2 linked regions of the Lytechinus pictus genome follow. The protein of the gene in region 2 interacts with the protein of the main gene of each other region in a pairwise test. Links are inferred from orthologs where the notes say so. Each region holds a gene or a part of one and is shown on either strand. Other genes may lie near its edges.

Region 1 (12,648 bases), on a different chromosome or scaffold from region 2:
TTACAATTGTGATATTACCTACATTATGATACTTGATTTGCCTCTAAATGCAATTGAATTTGAATTTATATTAATGAAATAATTATTTGGATTTGTACTTGTGTGTAACTGAAAATAGCCATTAGTGACATCAGAATATTACAAGTCTTTAAATGATTGTATATTGTAATAGTTTGATTTCCACTATCTTGGATCTTGATTCTTACACGTACCTGCCATTTTGGCAAGCATAATATATATCGAGTCTTTCAATAATTTCAGGTGGCCTGAATTTAACAACTCTTTGATTCCTTATTCATATTCACAGAGAATGAATTATTCTGCTAATTTTGTATTTAAGATCATATGTTATTTTGATATATATGTATATGTGAAGTTATGTGTGCAGTACATTATGGCAACGCTGATATTTCACATTAGAACAACTGTGCTTGGTACTTACTCACCTTAAAATGGGTTTAAATTCTCTGAAGTAATCTCAATTGATATTTCGGTAAGTTATTAAGAAGAAAAATTATGCATCTTCATCCTGCAATAGAATACATGCCTTTTACGGTTCTCCAATCGCAAGGTATAATGGAATTGAATTCTAGTACATTACGACTTGAGCAAAACATGTATAGTCTCACATCAAGCAGTCTCTTTCCTTGTACATTACTTTTTTTATCGAAATCCTTGGATAAATTAAATAATTATTTGCCAAGAAATGAGTATACAAACAACCTGAAAATAGTGGTGTTAAACTGATCAAAACAACACAAAAAGTTTGGTCGTTATTTCTTTGTTTCTATGATTATGTGTTTGTTATGATCATTGTGTTATGAACTTCAATACAAGAGCCATTCATGAACTTAGGTTAATATCAGGAAACTTACATATTGTATTAACAAAGCTGATTTTTATAACTTTTCTGTTTCAAATTGAAAATTTCTACATCAACAAGCATAATCATGTAGTCTCTAATAAGTTACTTTCAACAAAACACTTGTCACAAGTTTACCTTTTAAATCCAAAAAAGTTTACTCAAGTGGGATTCCTATGTCCCGTGAATATCATCAAGTAGATGAACAAAAATCAGCATTGGATACTGTACTTGCACATTTAAGTAGATAAGATGACATACTAGATTTTTTGCAATAAGTTTTTACATGTATATTGTGGGTTTTTGTTATTATAAATCATTTGTCGTTTCTCACAGCATCTTGTCTGTGATTTTCACTTGCAACCAATGAGATGTAAGAATGTCAATTGTCACTGAATATCCTAGTTGGTTTTCACAAAGAGTTAAGTATGACTTAAAGTCATGCTTACAGTGCTGACGCGCACATGATTATTGAACATGCAATCTTATCGATTTTTACGCGGTAGTTCGCGTCCTCTTAAGCATGATATGACCAATGTGGTGATAGTGCAACTCTAAGGGGGTGTTGTAAGAAAATATTTGCGATCAATTGCAAATATTCTGTTGCAATTATACAACTGATAGATCAATGTTAGCTGTAGCAAATCATATTAAACTTCTTGTTTCAAGGAGCAGATTAGCAATCAATCACTATTTTGCTATTAACTGCAAGACATATCATTGATTGAGAGACCAAAAATAGACTTGCAATTGATCGCAAGTTTCTTGCAACACCCCAGAAGTCATACATATTTCTTTGTGAAACACCCCTTGACAGATTTCTTCATAAAAGGCTCCTAACTTAGTACACTATCTTGTTTTCATATTTTAGACAAAAAGTCTTTGTAATTCTGCTCTAGAGTATAGGTTTATGTCTGTATGTTATTTGCAACTGGTTGTATCCGCAAGAAGTGGAAATATTTTGAATGAAAACTCTCAGGTATCTATATTCGCAAAGGTAATATTGGCTATGTAGATATTTAGAAATTGTTTGTAAATTATGCTTATGATGCCTTGCATTTTAAGATAAGGGTCAGTAGTAATGGGGAAAAAAAGAAAATTTGATAAAGAACTTACGAAAAAAATGTTTCTTGTGGTCTGACTTCCATTAAAAGAATCAAGATGATCAATGATTTGGGTGTGACTTTTCTATGATATAAGTTATTATTATTTGATTAAGACTGGCTTGCTCACTTGCCATAAATAACAATGAGGCACCACCAAAAGTCACTCCTAGAATCAATGCGATTTCTGCTATTATGCAACATGAAAAATTGATGTATTCCTTTATTTTGGAGTTGTTGGTAACAAACAGCTATATAAAACAGTCATCAGTACCCCGTCTTACAAAGAGTTGTGATTGAACCGATCAGTCACAACTATGGACGGCCAGCAATGTCAACATCTATTATGCATGTTTGTTCAAAATATTTTCTAACTATGATGCATTCATTGTTTTCTTGAAAATTCACTGTGCTTCTCTTTGTTTACAAAGGACATCGTGCAAATTTCCTGTAAAAAAAAATTATGAAACTGATGGATTTCCATAGAGTTACGATTGATTGGATCAATCGTAACTCTTTGTAAGACGGGGCCCTGGGCAGCATAACACAGTGCTACCGATTATATAATCATTAACCTTTGTGTTTAGGGGGCCCAGGTCTGAAAAATGCCCTGACGCAAGACGATTATTTGACTTATGGAAGGTTGACTTGGACAGAGTTCACTGTACTATTTTGCTTAATCATGAGTAGAAATTATATTAGTATTCAGTGAGAATGCGCCTTTGGTAATTATACCGAATGATTATGTTCATATATTTTTTCTTAACTTCAGGTGTTTAGAGGTGATTCGTTTATCAGTACTTTCTTAAATGACTTTTTTTCTCTCTCTCTTGGAATGACATTAATAAATCTTTTTCAGATAAAAAAAATAATGTGTGTGCCTGGTGGTAGTGATTTTAGGAAGTATTTTCATCATTGTCCACTTAGTATGTATTCTCCATTGCTTGATATTTGCCAGAGAAAGAGAGAGAGAGTGTGAGAGAGAGGGGGAGAGAGGGAGATGAGCAAGAAGAGGGGTTCAGACGTAGAGAGAAGACAGGCAAGAGATTTATAGAGAACAGAAGGGGAAGACTAGAAAGAAGAAGAAGGAAAGAGAGCAAAAGATAGTATTCAGAATCAAATGCGGCATTGCAAATTAGTTACAATTTGTTCTTAATTCTGTTCTTCCTTTTACCTTCCCCCTTCCTCCCCCTTTTTCCTTTTTCCCCCTCTTTTTCACAACCTTTTCACTTTTCACAACCTACTGCCTTAATCTGCAACATTGGATAAGTACTAGCCAGTGAATTCGGATTTTCCGGGGGGTGGGGGTTTAAAACAATTTGAGGGTGAATTTGCCTCAAACCCCCATATTTTTCCCTGGATTTATTATTTTGAACCTTCTAGATCTCCATATTTTCATTTCAATTTGGGGTGGCTGTCACAAAAGGAACTCTTCCCCACATGAATTTCTTACTTTGAAATCTGCCTTTCGTAGTAAAAGAAAGGAAATGCCATTATAACAAACTTGCCCATGAGGTAAGTCCATGCAGTGGTCAGTTAGTAGATTAAATCAGGGTCTGTGCCTGCAGACTAGTTTTTTGTGGCCGAACTTTTTTCCCTGACGTCTGACGTCATATCATAACAAACGTTAAATGGCAAAATGGACGGGGATGACAATTTCGCAAGAGCCGGGACTTCTGGGGTCCCTTGTGCCCTTCCTGAAGATAAAATGAAGGAATTGGAGAGAGAATCTATAACAAGGGCTAGAGAGGAACGTCTTAAGAGCATTTTGAGCCCAGTAGAAGGTCTGGTGATGAATATTCAAAGTCTTTTGGTGTGGGAAAACACGCAACCAAGCGCTGTTCTGTTCGTGTGTGTGAACATCGTGTTTTGGTGAGTAACGTTAGTGCAGTGCAGTTGGTGAATTCGCTCATGTGCAACTACGGTAAACATATCTAGCCAGGCGGCTTCTAGAGAGTAAAAATCATTTACTAACGTAAGGTCACTCTCATGAAGCCAGGGCTTCCGTCATATACTTTTGTGTGTACCACCAAAAAACCTGAAACTTTCGCCCCCGAGATTTCTACTTTCTTTCTAAAAGAGCTAGCCCTAAAATAAATCATGTACATGGGATAAAACTTCATTTCCGACATTTCTACGCTCTCGTTGTTATTTTTGAACAAGAATTCATCAAAAAAATGAGAGAAATATTGTGTAAAGACGGAAGAGACGGGTAACGTTGGGGAAGAACAATAGAAAACAAGATGGCGGCGTAAACATCGGGCAAGTCTCTTCCGTCTTTACACAATATTTCTCTCATTTTTTTGATGAATTCTTGTTCAAAAATAACAACGAGAGCGTAGAAATGTCGGAAATGAAGTTTTATCCCATGTACATGATTTAGGGCTAGATCTTTTAGTAATGTTGTAAATCGGATCAAAAATCAGATCGAAAATCGGATCGGCAGTTAAGCTTCTAAAATCGAAATCGAATCGAAAATCGAATCGGCGATGTTTAGAAACAAAGGAATACATCATCATTTTGTTCGCGGTCGCGCGCATCTTCCTGACAAAGTCACAAAGACGAATGTTTAGGAATGGAAGTCGTTGACATGCGCGATCGTTTGGAACATGCTTTTAAAGGGTTTTGAGGCTTACCGTAACTGCTTTACAATAAAATGAGTTATTTTTATTAGAAAGATAACGAATGACGCATCTTCCGAGCAAAGTCGCAAAGGAAAATAATTCTCGTAGATCACAGGTCAATGAACGATCGGCGGGACATCTTTTATAAGTATTTTTATGTGAAGCTGAGCTCAGCTAAGTTCGCTCATTATAATATGTGATTACAGCCACGCCCAATAACCATTCCAAAGTACACCTATTTTGTTATAATAGCTTACTTGGTACATCAGTTCTGGGAAAAGTTAAGTCACGCCTCACTATCGATCTTTTTGTATACCCACCCACTCAACAATATCAGTGAATTACGCAATGCGTGCAAGCATTCACACAATACAAGTATAGTTTTGAGGCATAGCCGAGAATTGGAACCGCCCAGACTCAACGGGCTAGCGCAAAGTTCTTTACACTACCTTTTGGCATGTGCACGTGGTGGATTTGATTGACACTGTACGTTAACAGTGCTATTCTTTGAGTTGGCTCACTGGCTGGATTAATGACAATATATCATCGCAAGTATGGCTTACATGATACATACAACAGGCAACACATCCATACACACTGCTCTCAAACTCCCTTGCTATTATTCGTACCTAGGCCGTGTGTGCACTTATGGGCGGGATTTAAGCAGGGCATTGACTAGCATATACAACACATCCATGCACCCCAGCATTTATATACATTTCTCAAACTCCCTTGCTATTCATCCATTGTGTGAACTCATGGGCGGGATTATGACAAAAATTAGTGCAAGCACTAGCATACACAATACATACAATACATTCCTGCACCCATGCAGTCACATACAGCTCTCAAACTCCATTGCTATTGGCCATTGTATTCACTTATGGGCGGGATTTATCAGCATAAGCACTAGCATACATAATGCATACAACACATTCATGCACCCATGCAGTCACATACAGCTCTCAAACTCCATTGCTATTGGCCATTGTATTCACTTATGGGCGGGATTTATCAGCGTAAGCACTAGCATACATAATGCATACAACACATTCATGCACCCATGCAGTCACATACAGCTCTCAAACTCCATTGCTATTGGCCATTGTATTCACTTATGGGCGGGATTTATCAGCGTAAGCACTAGCATACATAATGCATACAACACATTCATGCACCCATGCAGTCACATACAGCTCTCAAACTCCATTGCTATTGGCCATTGCATTCACTCATGGGCGGGATTTATCAGCGTAAGCACGAGCATACATAATGCATACAACACATTCATGCACCCATGCAGTCACATACAGCTCTCAAACTCCATTGCTATTGGCCATTGTGTGCACTCATGGGCGGGATAAATGACAAACACAGTACAAGTACATGTTCCTTGTTTGTATTGTACAATACATTCATTCCAAGTTCCACTCCCACCATACCATTCAGCGCAGCTACCGGTAGGTCATCATAAGTAGGTCAACCTTTTATGAGTCATTTCTGACATTCCAGGAATCTGATTGTTCGAACTATTCGATTGTTAAAAAGCTCTAAATAGCTAGCACCTCCGCAAGGACAATCTTAAAATATGTTCTGACCGCACTGTAATTAGATCTACAGGTATGCCGATTTTTTTATCCGATTTTTTCCTTCAAGGGGCATGATCGAAGATCGGCAAGTGATCGCCGATTGTTGTGAAATCGAATGGAATCGGTTGCCGATTGCAAAATCGGTTACAAGCTTATCTTTTAGAAAGAAAGTAGAAATCTCGGGGGCGAAAGTTTCAGGTTTTTTGGTGCTACACACAAAAGTATATGATGGAAGCCCTGGCTTCATGAGAGTGACCTTACGTTAGTAAATGATTTTTACTCTCTAGAAGCCGCCTGGCTACACATATCAAGGAATCGTGGGCGCTAATGCAGTTTTGCACCCGCTGACTTCGAGAGAATTCCCTCACCAGTGCCACTACCAGTAAATGTCCATAAATGGCATAGCAAGACTCTCAATCAAATTTCAAGGACAAGTCAAAATAATGCCCACTCTTTTTCCGAATATCACGATTAGATCTCTACTCTAGTCTGCCGGCTCAATCGATCTCGAGGTGTCATTGACAATGCAAATGCTCAGTCGTGACGTTGATCATGTTGATTCATCAGACTCATCTCAGAGTTGGCCATGTTGGCTTGCTTGGCTTCGCCGTCGTTAATTTATGGACTGAAGTATATGATCAAATGTTCTGCCTGCGGCAGCTCACCCTTTTTTGTTCGCCATATGTTCCCATGATTTTGGCTGCCAATCTTCATTCCATAATATAAAACTTACTGCGAATCCAAGTGAAGCGAAATCTGACTGCATGAGTATTCGAACGGTGATGAGATCAAAGCCAAAATACAGTCGTTCTGAATCGTGATATTTGGAAAAGCTGTGGGTATATTGACCTTGAACTGTAATTGAGAGACTTGCTATGACATTTGCAAGCAGCCAATGGTGTGAAATTTGCTTGAAGTCGGCCGGTGCGAAACTGCATTAGCGCCGCAATGGCAATATCACCTTTTTGTTATGTTGTTTGTGGGTGCTAAATGCAGTTTTTGTTTGTCCTACTCTGAGCAAATTTCCCCAAGTAATTGTTCGCAACTGTCATAGCAAGTCTCTAAATCACATTTGAAGGTCAATAGTATACCCACTGATTTTCTGAACATTGCGATCGGCTCGATGTCGTTGCATTTGTGAATTTTCATTAAGACATCGTTTTGCTTTGGCTTTTTGCATGCTTTGCTTCACTTTAGATTTTGTATGGACTAAAATTGGCAACCCAAAAATCTGCCAGCAGCAGCTCACCCGTTTGTTCACCACATGGTAGAATGATTTTGGTCACTAACTTCACTTGGTCCATATCAAAATTACGGCGAAGCCAAGTGAAGCGATGTCTGACTGAGAATTTGAACGATGACATCGAGATCAAAGCCAAAATACAGCTGTTCATGATCGTGATATTCAGAAAAAAAGTGGGCATAAATGACCTTAAAAAGCGATCGTTTTTGGCGAGGGGTTATGGAGGTGGATTGTGAACTTAAACTTTAAGTTTGTATGATATATTTAAGATAGCCTGATCAGTGGGATATCTTGTAGGATTAGGAAATCCACAGAATATAAAAAATTTGTTGAACCCACCCGATCCCCACTTCAAACGGCTGTTTAAAGGACTTGAACCAATACATCTGTCATAATAAGTCACCAGAGTTTGTGGTGGAAGTAGCGAGGCAACCAACACGTGTACACGATGACATTATAGGTCTCCTGATTTGAAAGACTGAGAATATATTGCAAGCGCAACAAGAATGGGCCGTAAATTTGTGGAGGGGGGGGGATCGGTCCTTAAAAAACATGTGCGCGCTAAACATAGACAATATACATGTATGTGCAAAAACATGCCTGTAAATGAGCATGATGGAAATTGTTCATTCATTGGTTGATGAATATACAGCCATTAGTAGAATCGGAGTCAAATCTAAAAATTTGATGCTAATCTGGATTTTCGGAGACGAACATTAGGTCACACTTATGATTATTTTCGCAGGTACAATTGCATTTAAAAAATAGGTGATGATAAAGGATATAATCCATCCAGAGGCATGCTTACCTTTTATTTTTTAACGCAACAATATAGAGGACATTGTTTAGGATCTTTTCATAGGTCCATAGTTGTAAAGAAAGATCCAGGGTGCTACATAACTTTTTAGAAGCACTTTAGTCGGGCAAGTGAATTTCTAAATAGTTGGAAAATACTTGCCCGAAAATACATTTCACTTGTCCGAAAAAAAATCCTTCAAAATAATGTTTTACCGCTGCAAAAGAGAGTAATATGGTTTTATATACCATTGCCCCTTTCCTCTCTTTAGACGTGAACTATTGTACTCTGTAATTTTTTTTTCAAGGAAGGAAGAAAGAAAGAAAGAAAGATAAAGGGAAGGTGAAAGAATGGGTGAAGGAAAAATTGAAGGAGAGAAAAAATGAAAAACAAGAGGTGAATGGAGAAAAAAGAAAGAATAAAGGAAAGAAAAAAAGGTTTTCCTTCATTCTTTGAATTAATAAAGAAAAGAACAGGAAAGGAAGGGAAAATGAATTATTGGGTGAAAGAAAGAATGGAAAGAAATAAAAAAGGGGGAAAGAAAGTAAGAAAAAGGAATGAAAGAGAGAATGAAGGAAAAAAGATTTCCTTCATTTTTTTAAAGAAAGAAAGAAGGAAGGAAGGACGGACGGAAAGAAAGAAAGAAAGGGGAAAACGGGAAGGAAATAGCAAAAAAGGAGAGAATGAATAAGGAAAAAGAGAAGGAAAGAAGAAAATAAAGATTGAAAGAAAGGATGAAAAGAATGAAGTGAAGAGAGAATAAAAAAAAAGAAAAATAATGGAAGAAGGAAGGAAAGAAAGAAAAAAAGGAAAAGGTCAGGAAGGGGGAAGGAAGCAAAGAAAAAATAGAGAAAAGAAAAAAATGAAGAAATTTTAAAAAAGAAGGAAAGTACATATGTAAGAAAATGAAGGAAAGAAAAAAAATGAACAGAGAGAGAAAAAAGATCAGGAAAGAAAGCTAGGAAAGATGGAAAAGAAAGATAGATGGAACAAAAAAGGCAAGCGGGAGAGATAGAAGAAAGGATAGAAAGAGAGAAAGAAAGAAAGGAAGGAAGAAAGAAAGAAAGAAAAAAGGAAGGAAGGTAGCAAGTAAGGATTACTTACGGAAGGAAGGAAGAAAAAGAAAGAGGAAGAAAGCTCAAATTTGAAACAAAACAAAAAATGCAATCATCTAACAAAAATCTTGCTGATATTTGTTTAAAATATATTTTGAAAATTGTTGGAAAAATAAACGTTTTAGAAATGAATAAAATTTCACAGAGAAACATTGACAAATTTAAAAATCAAATGAATCATTGCGGCATCGTGGACTTGCACGCATCTTTCTTCCCACTACACCGATCACAACAACACTCAAAACAACGGCTGAAACTAGTAATGAAAACTCAATAACTTGCTCCTCCGATCACATCACCAAATCAGTAATCTGAGAATCCATATAAGTATAAAAAAATTCCTGCCGATTTTGTGATTATTTTGTTGGAAAATCTATTTTTCATGTGAGCTTGTTCACTTTGGCTTGCAATTTGAATGGAGGGATGTTGTTAACTTTGTTTTTTTCTCTCTCTCTTCTTTATTTTTGCATGTGAAGTATGGGGAAACTTTGTAAAATTTCATTTCACAGTGAGAATTTCGGGCAAGTATTTTTTGTCTTTACTTCAAAACACTTGCCCGACTCTAACTTTTACTTGCCCCGGGCAATCGGGCAAGCGCTTACATGTATGTCGCACCCTGATTCAGGGACATGCATGTTATCATAATGGTAGCATTATTAAGTTCATACTGTAGGTGTTTAAAAAGGGAAGAAGATATATATCTTCAAGATTCCCTTTTTGGAAAGGCCCAAACCAAGGCAAAGAGTCTCTCATCCCGTGCCGGTCTTCTGTTCCCAGTGCAGTGGGACGTGTTCATCGATTTCTTCGCAACATTTGGCATCTTTGCATTGCATATTTGTGATGTGTCATTATACATGTACATGTAATAGTATGGTATGTACAGTACAAGTAGCCAGACAATATTTTATTTTTTAAAAACAGTATGCAATATGCATGTATTTTTTTGTATCGAATAGTTTTATCTTTGTGAGATTGCTGTTGTTGGGAGAGCATGCATGCATGCATTGGACACCTAATGTACAATATTCCCTCCCCCGACCCCAATCTCAAGGTAACCTCTGTGTGCTGAAATAAAATTGGCAATGTTTTAGGTTACTTGCTCTTGATCTAGTGGATAAATGCTCAAATTTAGGCACAGTTACATTAGTTTCTACAGCAATTATTCATCTTGGCACAAAACTAGTCAATTATTATTTTTTCATAGATAAAAAGGGAGTTTGACATTTTTTTCTTTTTTTTACTTTCCATCAGTAGAGGGCATCACAAAGTAAATGCTGAAAATTGTAGATTTTGTGCGCTCAGGGAATGCAAAATAATAATTCCCAAGATTATGATGTCTGATGACTAAAATTATAAATGAAGAATAGTATTTTATTTGGAGTATGTGTTGCATTGATTCAAGTCAGTCAACACAGACAGGGTGGTTGCAGCAAACTGCAAGGGCCCCCCCCCAAAACGTCCCCAAAAAGAAAAAAAAAGGGAAAAAAGAGAAGAGAAAAGGAAAAGCGAAAGAAGGAAAGGGAAGAAAGGTAGCTTTGTGGGTTTTTCTTTTTTATTTTATTTTTTTTCTTAAAAAGAAACTCCTTCACTCTTGCTCTAAATTTATATACAAGGATTTTGCTTCCGCGCTGCGCGCGGTTAAATGATATTGCAGTTCCCCTTTGTTTCCCTCACCACTTCTCTAACCCTGTTTTTCTATTTTAGTTATACGTGTTTCTTGCCAGTTAAAGTTCAAATATATATATTAGGGCATGGAATTAGAGTAAGGATAGTCCGAAGTATATGAAGTTATTTTTTTTTTATTGGTCGCGCAACTTCTGGTCGGGTCGGCTCCGGGCGGGTAAAATCTTTATATCATTTTATGCCGTCACCTCCATATAGGCAACTTATCCCGCTTTTCAGCTCATTACTAAATAATCATAATTTGGGGCAAACAGGTTCCTAATTTAAAAAGAGGAAGGTATAAAATATTTGTGTTGTATTAAATAAGAAGAGTACAATATTTTTTATCAAATTCTACTCAACTTCATGTCATTTCCCTACACATTAATCTCCTGTCCTATTTTGCACCCTAAGCTTGAAATTTTGAATGACACTTAAATTTCTTTATCATTAAAAATGAAGCGCATCAGGATAATTATACATCATCCTGTTTTATATAATTTTAATAAATCACAAAAGTTTCAACTCTTTGCGCACAATTTTTCCTTGTAATGAAGTTCAATAATCTAAGAGGAAAAACAACTGAATTAGATGGGGGTATTAGAGATATCTGCATTTGACGAAACGTCCGCCCTTTGAAATTTCAGAGTTTCATTGCTCTGCGCGGGGAGGAATATCTTCCTCCCGGCATATATCCTTCTCCTCTGTTTTGCGAGTTAAAGATATGCACTGTCGCTAAATTGTTGGTAACCAAATCTGATCTTTCCAAAGGAAGTATTCAATATAACTTAGAGAATACCCTTTTCTCGGGACACTTTTCTTTGCAAAAAAATTGATAAAACACTTTCGCTTCTGCGCTTTGCGCGGTGTTAATTTCCTCCATTTTATCCCTTTTTTGTGCGTTCACAATCACTTTTGAAAACAAGGTTCAAAATCACAATAGTCGACTGAATTGGGGCTGATATAGGTACTAGAGACAAGAGAGACGGCTCCTTTTCATTTTAATTTATGAAACACCAAAAGCTTTGCGCTTCGCAAGGGGGGGGGGGAAACTCCCCCTCCCTGCACCCACCCCCTAGGGAGCGCGCTTCGTGTGCTCTGTAAGTGTTGGCACGCTTCGCGTGCATTTACCGCCCCCTCCAAAATGATATCCTGGCTACGCGGTTGCCCAGTCCTGGTAAATACATGAGGTGTACTAAATTATGTAGGTCTGAGAAATAGACTACCTCTAAATTACATATACAGTATGTGGAGTCATGATATCATCTTACCAGTGTCACAACTAAATTGTGATTCAAATTTAAGAGTTTCCTTATAAATTGTCCAATCAGCAAACACTGAGATATTCAAAAGAAATAGCAAGTAAAAGTGGTTTCATGGACTATCGTTTCCATACATGTATGTGTTTTCACTGTTGTACCTGTACTGACTTGTACATGTTCTGTTTATATGAAAAATAAGCAGCTGAAATATTTAAATACACATAAATGTCATAACTTTCTTACAGTGTAAATATTTTACTGTAGAATATGAAGTATTTTCGGTATATTCATTGTAATCTGAGACAAAGTTTGATTCCCCCTGACTTCGATTTTGATGGACTTGACCTTTAAGAAGCAGATCAAATCCTGCCTATTTTGATATTGTTTACCTT
Region 2 (12,718 bases):
TGTGTATTGTTGCGGCGGAGAATAAAGATCTGATTGAAGTGATTGACATTATTATTGAGGTGTCGGCTCGCTACTGTCTAGTTTTCATGATTTTAGAGAGAAGTAGGCCCCCTAAAGAGTTTTGAAAACGAGAGATCCAATGAAAGTGGGAAATAAAATGAGTGACTGTTAGAGATGGAAAAGAGAGACGCAAAACAAATAATATAGAAATGAGATGAGGTGAAGTTATATTTTTTATTATTAACAATCAGATGAAAATAAAAATCAAACACTCATGAATGATTACGGTATAGCATATAGCAAGATCTCCTTCCCCTCGTTGAAAAGTTGAATGAAGATAAAGCCATGCGGAAACATTCATCTCTTGGGGGAAAATGACCCCCAATCTTTACTTTTTTCCCTTTCTTATCAACTTCTCAAATTAACCATAAACAATTCGATGATCATTCTACTCCCCCTGTCCCATTACAGTCGTAAAACTTTGCATCCCACTTGGTCTGTATCATGGTCGAATGAAATCTGACCAATGAAATCATAGAAATCTCGGTAATTGCCCTTCAATATCGGTGAGCTGAGTTAATTTCGCGAGCAGACAAAGCACGTGACTGTATGTACCGATGCGACAATCAGCCACATGCGATTGGTAGTTTAGTTCACCCATCGAGCCAATTAGCGAAAGGCGCATTACATAAGCACACTTTCTTCGACACGCCCCTGGCCCTACAATGCCTACAGTTCAGTGCACTGGCGCTGGCCGCCTCGTATGTGATGCAATGGCCAATCACGTTTGGCCGGACTGTATATATAAATATTCATGAGCTCAGAGTCCCGCTACAAGGGGACTGCATGCGCTGGCCTAGCTGGTACGAGTGCGAGCGCGGCGTAGTTACCGGTAATTTGGCAAGTATCCAAAGTGTGGTCCAGGTATGGACGACTAGGAAGAGTCGCCATTTTAGAACTGTGAATTACCCAATAAATCTGTCATCAGATAATCAAATTCGAGATAACAGTTGATTCGTTGAGCGCTATAACTTTCATAGTTTCATGTCAACAAGATAGAGATAAAATGGTTTAATGTGACAGAGGACACGCGAGCACATGCAGTCAATCAAGTACAAATTGTCTACCGGTACGCTACGTATACCTGAATGAACTATAGCTTTATCAGTCTATCATATCATTACCGAACCCCGAACCGAACCAATGTTCGGCAAATTTTTGCCGAACCTTGCCGAACCGAACCGAACCCGAACATGGCGCCTGACTTGCAGCACTAACTTGCACATGCTTTCATTAACACCTTTACCTGCTGAAACCACACATCGCCATATAACCAGTACCAGTCTATCTTCCACTTTACTGACTTCAAGAAATTGGACGGAGGAGAGGGGCAAACAAGTTTTATAGGTAAAACTTTACGCCCACAACAAGGTATGTTACAAGGTATGTTAGTATTGCCGAACGTTTTCTTTCTACGGGAAAAGTTGAAAAAACAACAAAATCACTGATGAGCTATTTTTAACCATTAAATTGAGGCATATTTCATGATTTTAAGAATATCTAAAGTCTTTCTTTGAAAAGGTGTTCTATTCGACTGGTCTGTTGTTAGACCAAAAGCTTCAGTCTCTGTATTTTGGTTGTTCTGCTGAACTGCGTTGGCTCACTCACCAATACATAGACTGAAGAGCTTGGAGGCCCGTACGTACAGAGAACATATTAGCAGAAACGTTAGATCTAACATTCGGCGGAAACCTGATTTTCCGATCGTTTTTTTGTACATAAAATGTCACATTATGAAAAAGAAATCACATCCATATTTATGAAAAAAAAATTTAAATTCAGAAATATCGTACCTAAGACCGCAGTTACCGCTAATTCCTTTCAAATGATGAGCGAAACATCGTCATCTTCGATCCTTTCGTTGGTCAACGTAAGTTGCCATCTTTGATGACGTCATCATCCTTACAGACGTATTTACCAGTCGCTATATATCGCGATTTGTGCCGCTGCTTTGCGCTTGTAGATGTGCGTGCGTTCGGAACCTGTCGCTCGCATTGATTGGCCAGGATATCGAAAATTTAATCGGAAAGCCTTGATAAAAGCACAACTCGTTGACGGCTGCCATTTTTTCCTCTCCGGCAGAAAATTTAAAAAATAAGGAATAACCCGGGGAATAACTCATCGGTAACGTATATTTTTGATATTTTATAGAACTTACTTAGTATCAAAAGAAAGATTAGAGTCTAACGAAAATAGTGGGCCTTCGCGTTCAAGATAATATAATGTCATTTATAATCTAAAAGAAATTAAAATCTGGACAAAACCCGTCCTCCGAATTGCCGACCAGATTACACATGCAGGCTCGCACTAACACACTACCGTCGGTGAATGTAGCCAGGCGGCTTCTTGAGAGTAAAAATCATTTACTAACGTAGGCTTACTCTCAATGAAGCCAGGGAGTCCTTCCTATTCACCTACACGAAGGACCCCAAAACCTTAAACTTTTACCCCCGAGATTTCTACTTTCCATCTAAAAGATCTAGCTCTAAATCATGTACATGGGATAAAACTTCATTTCCGACATTTCTACGCTCTCGTTGTTATTTTTAAACAGGAATTCATCAAAAAAATGAAAAAATATTGTGAAAAGACGGAAGAGACTTGCCCGATGTTTACGCCGCCATCTCGTTTCTTATTGTACTTCCCCAACGTTACGGACGAGAGCGTAGAAATGTCGGAAATGAAGTTTTATCCCATGTACATGATTTATGGCTAGATGTTTTAGAAGGAAAGTAGAAATCTCGGGGGCGAAAGTTTCAGGGTTTTTTGCGGTACACGCTGATGAATAGGAAGGACTCCCTGGCTTCATTGAGTAAGCCTACGTTAGTAAATGATTTTTACTCTCAAGAAGCCGCCTGGCTAGGTGAATAGGGATTACAGTAAAATGTCAGAAATTGTTGAATAAATCCCCAGAAACGACGGTTATTCCTGTCTAGTCTATTGAGTGTTGTTTACTTTTTGACAATTCTATTCAATGTTCCCTTGGCCTTACTTCATGTACCGGTACTTAGTTTCATTTGCTTTGCCTTTGGAAAGGTGTTACAAAGTTTTGAGCATGTGAAATTATTTTCTGACGCATATGACTATGATACTGATGGTATCAATATGATGAGCACGTTCGGTAATTACAAGGCCGTCAAATATCACTATACACACACCGGGGCACTCCTAGTACCAATGAGGTCCAAACATTAGCATGTATGGACCTCATAGGCGACAATGCATTAAAAACAGGTTGGAACTTCTAACCGTACTGTTTCCTGCACCCAAGTATGATATTACTCCCAAAATATGAGTTTTGTCCTCGTTTGTTTATCATTTATTAAAAGATTGCCCATTAAATATATTCCTATTCCTAATTTGAATTTAATAAAATAAAGGGAAACTTACATTTGAGTCCTTTTTCGATCTTTTTTTGGCAGTCAGTCCGGTCACCGTCGAGTGCGATCAAAGCAGTATGAAGCTGATTTTCAGATCACGTGATACGTGTGGTCATCACCTGATCGATCGACTATCCTTTTTTAAAGACCGCAACAATTATAAATTTTATTATAAAATATATATAGAATAAATTATTGCATAATGTTATATAGGCCCTATATTTCTACAATTAAAAAATATATTGTGATATAATTTTAATATTTGACGTAAAAATCGCTATTGAACAAAATATTTATTAAAAAATAAAAAATCAAACAAAATAAAAAAGCCTTGGACACAGTGCAAAAAACGTAACGATTTGGCCGCGTTGTTAACAACTATCGTAAGGGGCGCTTTATTTATAAATAAAAAAGAATATGCAGCTGTCTATGGCGACGTGGTTTGTCGCGAGATTTGAGACAAATCGTTGGGAATTCTTGAGAAAATACATCAAAAGAACCGGTGAGTACCGATTAAACATTATTTAAAGTAGTAAATAGATTATACATACCTTGTAAGTTGTAGACTTAGTTTTTAAGGTGATATTAGTGCTTAGTTCTAAGCTAGGGCGGCCCAAACGCGTGTGAGCGGAGTCCCACTTTATTAACACGGGTAAGTATTGCGGTGTCGCCTAGAGTGCACCGGGGCACACACCCACACATTGATGACGCAAATATACCCTACAGGCCCCCTACACAGCTTCACGCGAGTGGGACTGAACCTGAAAAATGACCCGACCAAAAAAGCTAGCTGAGTCATATAGAATAAAAGTTTATGGGCCATTGGTCGATTTCTTGTTCAGTACCCTAGTAACATTCACATTATCAATTCAAGTAGTAAAACAGTAAAGTTAGTTTATTTCAACAGACCTTACCGCGTTCCGAAAGTAGGAATATAGGTACCAGAATTAGAAATGACGGTACATATCGTATAGTCTAGGTCAAAGACCAGGGGCGGTATTCTGAGGTCATTTTATCTTTAAAATATTTTATTTTATCTCTTAAAATGAAATTGGTATTCTGAGATGACATTTTATCTCTCAGATTAGATTTACAATTTTATCTTGCGTATAAATTTTATCTTGCGTATCTATGATGATACGCAACAGAGCTAGCAGTGGCTGCGTAGACATACCCATCGCGTATCTGGCCATTGCAACGCGGGTGATGTGCTTGCGCCCAAGTTACTTTGAAGAAAAAATAAAATAAACTTAAAAGAGGGTAGGGGCTATTTTATCTCCGCGACGTTGATTTCGTCAATATTTTTAAGTGAATTAACTCCAAATGTTGGCATGAAAATTAAGAAAAATTATATATTCATTGAGAACAACACCTTGAAAATATTCCTGTACAATCAGGAAGCATTTCATAAGACTATTCTTGACTAATATTGTCTTTGAAATGATGCTTGAAAAGATGCGATATAGACTTCGAAAAAAAGATGAGAGTATTGCCATTTTTGTTAAAAAGAAATCTCTGTAAAGACGCGCAAGCGTATAGTGCAAGCGTATTGAAGTCAATAAATTGACGCAATCTCACTCCCTTCGCCACACCTCCTAGCGGAATGGATTTCCATTGGTTGAGCGATATGAGAGAGCTATAAAAGCGCGTTTCTAATTGGATATTGATTAAAAAATAGGTGTGTCTTACAGAGATAAAATGAAGATAAAATTGTTCTCAGAATACCAATTCGGAGAGATTTTAAGGGTATTTTATCTCACTGATTTTAACGGAGATAAAATATTTTATTTTATCTGAGATAAAATGGATCTCAGAATACCACCCCATGGCCCTAGGTCTAATTTGACAGAGAAAGTAAGGAAAGTAATAAGCTGGCGCTCTTCCTAAAACCATGCATGGATCCATGCTAAAACTGAGCTGGTTGACTGGCAATTTCATATATGTTCTGTTTGTGCATGTCAATAGAAATTGAGCTTCAGTGATGACGTTTCTCACAGGTTCTCACCCCCCCCCCCCCAAAAAAAAAAAAAAAAGTTTATTTGAATAAATAGGGGGAAAATAAAACAAGCATAACGCTAAAATTTCATCATGAATTAAAGTAAGTCATGATTTTTTTCACAAAATTTACATGCAAATACCCGATGACGTTTTAAAGGGATACTCCAGGCTAAAGATATAAATATATCTAATAAATAGCGTAAAATTCACAAAGCAAAATGCTGAAAATTTCATCAAAATCGAATAACAAAATAATAACGAAGTTATCAAATTTTAAAGATTTGCATTATTCCGGTGGAACAGGCGTTCTAGGCAAGTCTTCATGAATATTCATTAGGTGGGCTCATGACGTGTTTCTTCCGTTTAAAATATACCCCACCATGCAGCTTATAAAACAGGAACCCAATTTACCACACCACTTTCAGTTTTTGGGAGAGTTTCATTTCTCTCGTTTAAACTGGGGAGGTACGTACAGCTAATAAGAGTGATAACACGCAGCAACCAAAGATGACCAGCGGCGGGTGAAGTTGGATCGATTGCAGCTGTCCATCTTACGTAATAATTTTAAGAGCTTCCTAGCTTCCTGGCTGACAAAATCTAGGAATAATTAATTTGTATTCTATTTGTTTAAGGACATTGGCATATCCAAAAACGATTCGAAATTTAGATGAAGATCAAAATGGAAGTTTGAACGATGCAAAATGACCCACAATTGGCGAAACTAGAATAAGTAAAACAAAAGTAGTTCAGGACTATTGCATATGTCTCTCTTCCCTCTCCCTGCCAGTGCTACCAGGCAATGAGGGTCACTTCTCCTGGAGGGGGGGGGGGGGGGCTTACGTCTGGGCGAGTGTGTGTTTGCCAGGATTACCATTCTTGCAAAGGAGGGATGGGCCGTTTGTGATCGGGTTAGGAATTCGAAATTGGGGTGTTAATTGATAACTTTGAATAAGACATTTCCTAATGTGATGATGTCACATCCACGCACTTTCCCCATTTCTTATGTTATTGCATGAAATCATAATTGTTTCATTTTTTCATAAATGTTTAAATGATGTTTCTCCTTTATGATGGGGATAGTGAAAGTGGGGATATGAAATCATCAGCCCACCTTATGAATATTCATGAAGACATGCCGAGAACTGTTTCACCGGAATAATACTCGATCGATCACTCACGATTTTTGTTTTTCCATGTATGAAATTATTTATATGATGAGATTGAAATATTAAAAGTTTAATTCTTATTCTTGTGCGTGTGGAATCGCTTTTGTTGCAACATATTATTTCGTGAAGAGCTGCCTGTCAAATTTGCAAAAAAAGTGAGTGTGCACATCACATCATCATATCTCCAGGATCTCATTCACCTATGTTGTGCACTGTTTTGTAAAATAAAAGGAATTTGGGGTCATTATTTTTTTTATTTTACATGAAATGTTCAGCATATTTTACACTTGCTTGATAGAGATGTACAGTATATATGACCTATATCTTTTATATTTTCTCTTTTTATGCAAATCACCATATTCTGTGACGTACGTCACGTCGAGCGTGAATATAAATGTATGAAATTTATATGAACAGAACACAGAAACATTTTTATCTTTAATTGGGGTGAATTAAGAAAGCTGCAATCATCAAACTGTATGTTTGATATTTAATTGGTAGACGTTGGTATTCAAAGGAAAGAATTGCGATTTAGTAATTAAATTCCCTATAAGTAAAATCATTGATTTATTTTGTATTGAGGGGGGCGGGGCCTTTAGGGTCAGCTAGCCCCCCCCCCCCCCCAAAAAAAAAAAAAAAAAAAAAAAAAACGATATGTTCGATCCACTACCAAGAAAAAAAAAGAGAAAGGGAAAAGAAATTTTAAAAAATGGGGTAAATTATTTTCTCATATATAGCCATATCTAGGCCGAAATAAAACGTTTCCCAGAAAAAAAGGAATGTATTTGCTGCGCAATATAAGGCCACCTGAGGGAAGGGGTCGGTAGCGGCCCCATGATTTTGAAGTGGGCCGAGGCGTACGTGCATTTAATTGCACACCGTATTAAACCAGGGCATATGCATATGGGCCTATATTGGCTCCATTTTTCCTTCCTTTCTTCTCTTCAAAATTTCTGAAGAGAAGGGATCAAGGAGAAGGCAACAGTTCTTATGAGGGAGGGGGGGGGGGTTTACAATTGTGCCGCCCCCATCATGCGTTATGCCCCGGCCCCTCGATCACGTCATCTCGGCCCGGTGCGCGTGCGCCGCACTCCGGTATGCTGTATGTCGCGGCTTCTGAGACGAGGTTAATGAAGTCTGCATTTACAAGCTTTATTTAGGCCCTAAAGCAAGAAGGGAAAATGGCTTCACTACTCCGTGGCATTCTTGGACCGAGGCTGTATAGAGTGAACTCTCATGGAACGATTAAGGTGAAATCTTGTTCTATTTATATATTTATAGGCCTACACGTCTATCGACCAGACACCGGGTCACTGCATTGTCCCACATACTGCGTTCTGTGTTTGTATACCCTATGCCTATGGCTACCTACCTCAGGCCACTCTAGGTAGGGTGTCTGGAGAAAAAAAATATTTTTCTTATTTCAAGAAAATATCACATTTTCTTTGTGAATTTGAAGAGAAATGACCTTCAGACTGACAGAAATGTAAAATTTTTGAAAAAAATCCAATTATTGGCTGCAAAAAAGAAGAATGAAATTAGGTAAATTTTCAGCATTTCTCTGCCATAGTCATAGACTGTGTAGTTAAGAAATGGACACACACAAATCCAAATTTTTTAGCTTCCGAGAGCTGTTATAAATTTATTATTAATGCCAAAAACTTGTCCATAAAGAGTCCAATAGAATTTTTTATGCTCTATCTGATGGTATGATTTTTATAAAGATTTGGAAACCAGATCACAATGAAAAATTGTGACAAAGTGAAAAAAATTGTGCAAAACAGAAATTTCATTTTCCCATAGAAAACGCATGGAGGAATGGCAATCTCAACACACACAAAAATAAGGGTTTGCAATTTATCTCTAAATCCTTATTTAAAATGATCATATAAACTTGTCCTTACTGTCAAAAGAAGCCCCTGAATTTTCTCTTTCCATACATGCCAAACACAAGTTAATAATCAATTCAGATCACATTTTTCTAGTAGCCTGAACTTCCCCGAAAAAATGTGCCATATTTTCCCCTAAATTAGCCTGTTTTATGCTGACACTTTTCAGTGTGGCTTCAGACACCCTACTCTAGGCGCACTCACACAACATGCGAGGTTAGTATTACTAACCTCGCACAACACATGTGATTTCATAGTGCATTTTGACGTTTTCATTCATCACACGAATGTGAGGGACTAAACTACGCCAAGCCTTTCAATATTTGTCCACTATGTTAATCTTGATCGTATTATTTGAAAAAGGAATTCTAAATTATTTATTAAGGTGTTTTTATCGCTTACCTCCAAATCTCAACCAGGATACTTCGTTCGATCCGTCCTTGGTTATCCTCATATTGCGGTGGAAATTACGCAAACAACAATCGAAATGCGAAATTTTCCTATCGAACATTCTCGATTCAAGTCGTAGGGGAGGGAGAAAGGAAAGAAAAGAAGGGAAAGGAAAAAGCGAGAAAGGGAATGGAGGGGGCGGTAAAGGAAAGGAGAGACAATGAAAGACAGATCAGGGGAGGGGGAAAGGTAAAGGAGAGAGAGGGAAAAGGAGACCATAAAATAGAAAGAAAACAAAAGAAAGGAAGAGGGGAAGGGAGAGGGAAAGAAAAATGGAAAGAGCAAGAAAAGAGTAGGGGAGGGAGAAAGGAAATAAAAGAAGGGAAAGGAAAAGCGAAAAAGGGAAGGGAAAGGGAGAGAAGAAAAGAAGGGAGAACGAAAATGGGGAAAGGGAGAAGGAGAGGGGATGATGAAGGGGATAGGAAAATGTCAAGTTTGAAGATCTGAATATTAACACTAAAACAAAATTAGACTCCCATGTTTTATTTATAGAAATACCATCTTTTTCATGATTAAATAAAGGTTCAACGTCCCTGTTCTAGGTCTAAACTTCAACATAAATCTACTGGCGCTTCGCGCTTGAATTCTGGAGGTCATTCCTCTTTTAAAAGTATAGGTAATCTGTCGGACTTTTCAAATCCCAAATTTAAATCTTAAGCGCAAATGCCCTCGCATTATTTTTCATTTAGATACAGTCCTGTCATCAATATCAAAAACTCTATAAGCGCGAGCTTCGCGCTGGCATCATTTTTGTAAGTGACATTTATGATGTTGTTCATATTTTAAAAATGTCCATTTGTTGAGGTTTAAATGTCCAAAAGTTCAGCGCTCGCATAATTTGTAAGGTAAATAGGCCTACCCTTTTAATTGTTATACAAAGGCGCTTATACAACGTCCAGAATGCAGTTCGGAATATTGAAAATAACTATTGGTCCCGCTATTTCTGCCCGTGCGACAAGCATTTATCATTTTGAATCATGAGATTCACCTTTAAAATATGATGAAAAAGTATCGTTAAGACTGAATTAAGAAAAAAAGAAGCTCACGTTTCACGCTCGCATTTTGATCCGTTAGCTTGTGATAATAATGATGACTTCGTTAATATATCTTAGCGGACATGTCCACCTTTTGGTGCTTCAAGAAAAATAAACACAACACACGAATAATAATAGAAAACGAACAAGGATAGAATAGATAGTTACCTATCCCACTCATGAATTCTTATTTAACAGTCCGCAAAACGTCTTTTTTTCGTGTTAGCTTATTTCATATACATACATATATATATATGTATATATAGGTCTCCTCATCATGGTTATAAAAAGTGCTCAGAATGTTTTATTTTCAAGTCCTTGTATCAGAATTTTCAGCTCGGGCAGCTCTATCGCATTTTGATTACTATCCTGTTGATTTATTTACTTGAACAAAATATTTAAAATGTCCAGCTTTTAGAACAGATATAAAAAAAAGGTATTCACCTTTGATCATAGATGAGGAAGAAGAAAAAAGTGCAAAAAAATAGGAAACAAACTAACGAATTAATGTGACATAATTTTTCTTCATTTCAAGGCGACTCTTTACATTTCATCATCGCTGATGGCGCTACAATAGAAAATACCGCTTGACAGCAAAAAAAAAACAGAAAGAGGAAAATAATGCTGAGCGTCTAAAATGCAGCTAGCAGTACAAGCTGCAGAACCGTAAACAAACATCTTGTGAATAATATCGCGCGCCCTCTTTAAGCAAAAGTTTACAACCACGATTACCCTGCGGTATCTACGTGAAGATCACGAGAAAATGCTTTTTTTTTCTTAAAAACACACCAAAGAGAAGAAGAGAAACGATCCATATGGTTCGGTAAGTGTCATAGCACAATTAGAAACATTATTTTAAAAGCAATGGCATAGTTATTTTAGTAAAAAGGGTGTGAAAATTTGCGTGCACATGTGCATATGAATCCTTCGCACGCGAGATGCATTGATCCCATGAGTGCTCTAGGCGACACCGCAATACTTACCCGTGTTAATAAAGTGGGACTCCGCTCACGCGCGTTTGGGCCTCCCTAGCTTAGAACTAAGCACTAATATCACCTTAAAAACTAAATCTACAAGGTATGTATAATCTATTTAGTAATTTGTTAATGTTTAAACGGTACTCACCTGTTCTTTTGATGTATTTTCTCCAGAATTCCCACGGATTTGTCCCAAATCTTGCGACAAACCACGTTGCGGTAGACAGCTGTACATTTTTTTTTATTTATGAATAAAGCGCCCCTTACGATAGTTGTTAACAACGCGGCCAAATCGTTAGGTTTTTTGCACTGTGTCCAAGGCTTTTTTATTTTGTTTGATTTTTTATTTTTTAATAAATATTTTGTTCAATAGCGATTTTTACGTCAAATATTAAATTTATATCACAAAATATTTTTTAATTGTAGAAATATACATAATATTATGCAATAATTTATTCTATATATATTTTATAATAAAATTTATAATTGTTGCGGTCTTTAAAAAAGGATAGTCGATTGATCAGGTGATGACCACACGTATCACGTGATCTGAAAATCAGCTTCATACCGCTTTGATCGCACTCGACGGTGACCGGACTGACTGCCCAAAAAAGATCGAAAAATGACTCAAATGTAAGTTTCCCTTTATTTTATTAAATTCAAATTAGGAATAGGAATATATTTAATGGGCAATCTTTTAATAAATGATAAACAAACGAGGACAAAACTCATATTTTGGGAGTAATATCATACTTGGGTGCAGGAAACAGTACGGTTAGGAGTTCTAACCTGTTTTTAACGCATTGTCGCCTATGAGGTCCATACATGCTAATGTTTGGACCTCATTGGTACTAGGAGTGCCTCAGGCGATGTTCGTGCAGGCTCCACTCTACTTCACTACCGCTACACTACGCTCCACCTACCCGAACATCGGGACCGTGAACCATGTCGGATATACCGAGTCACAAAGGTGGGATGGCAATCATGATAATCGTAAAAATTAAACAAAAAAAATATAACGAAAAAGATGATTGACTTAATATCTATTCTTAGTCTTACTCTACACTCGTATTTCACTCCGTTTCCATCCTCCGGTTATCCTCAAAATTTGTGATTTTGGGCCAGTATCTTTCTCCTCACACGTATTATTCACAGCCGATTTCAAATCATCGCATGCGATCGCGATCGGTTTGACCTGCGACCGATCGCGATCGCATGCGATGATTTGAAATCGGCCGTGAATAATACGTGTGAGGAGAAAGATACTGGCAATTACTGGCCCAAAATCACAAATTTTGAGGATAACCGGAGGATGGACACGGAGTGAAATACGGGTGTAGAGTAAGATATTAAGTAATTCATATCCCTCGTTATATTTTTTTTGTTTAATTTTTACAATAACCATGATTGCTATCCCACCTTTTATGACTCGGAATATCCGATCAAGTTCACTGTCCCGATGTTCGGGTAGGTGGAGCGTAGTGTAGCGGTAGTGAAGTGGAGTGGAGCCTGCACGAACATCGCCTGAGGTAATGGCTACCTCAATTTGCTCAAGCGATGTTCGTGCTACTGCTAGACAGCTGGCACTGGCAGCCGTCTGTTTAGGAGTTTTTTAACATTTTTAATTTTATTCTAATTTCTCCTCGTACACAGATGGCTCGCTATCGTGCAGCCACCATGATTAGGGGTTTAACAATGCAAATTCCCCGACGGGGCTCATCGATTTTTGTCTTTATTTCATAAAAATATATAAAAAGAACTACC

The links.
Region 1: the proteins of phosphatidylserine lipase ABHD16A-like (region 2) and reticulophagy regulator 3-like interact in binary tests that used the Homo sapiens proteins (3 or more experiments, as listed by UniProt). The link is inferred for Lytechinus pictus from reciprocal best matches to the Homo sapiens genes ABHD16A and RETREG3.

Annotation. Positions count from the first base shown.
Region 1 is NC_087257.1:20,067,961-20,080,608, reverse strand, and holds the start of reticulophagy regulator 3-like, read left to right. Parts: upstream 1-5,960; 5' UTR 5,961-5,975; coding exon 5,976-6,049; intron 6,050-12,648. UniProt on the Homo sapiens protein: Endoplasmic reticulum (ER)-anchored autophagy regulator which exists in an inactive state under basal conditions but is activated following cellular stress.
Region 2 is NC_087259.1:23,736,011-23,748,728, reverse strand, and holds the start of phosphatidylserine lipase ABHD16A-like, read left to right. Parts: upstream 1-7,691; 5' UTR 7,692-7,785; coding exon 7,786-7,854; intron 7,855-12,718. UniProt on the Homo sapiens protein: Phosphatidylserine (PS) lipase that mediates the hydrolysis of phosphatidylserine to generate lysophosphatidylserine (LPS). LPS constitutes a class of signaling lipids that regulates immunological and neurological processes.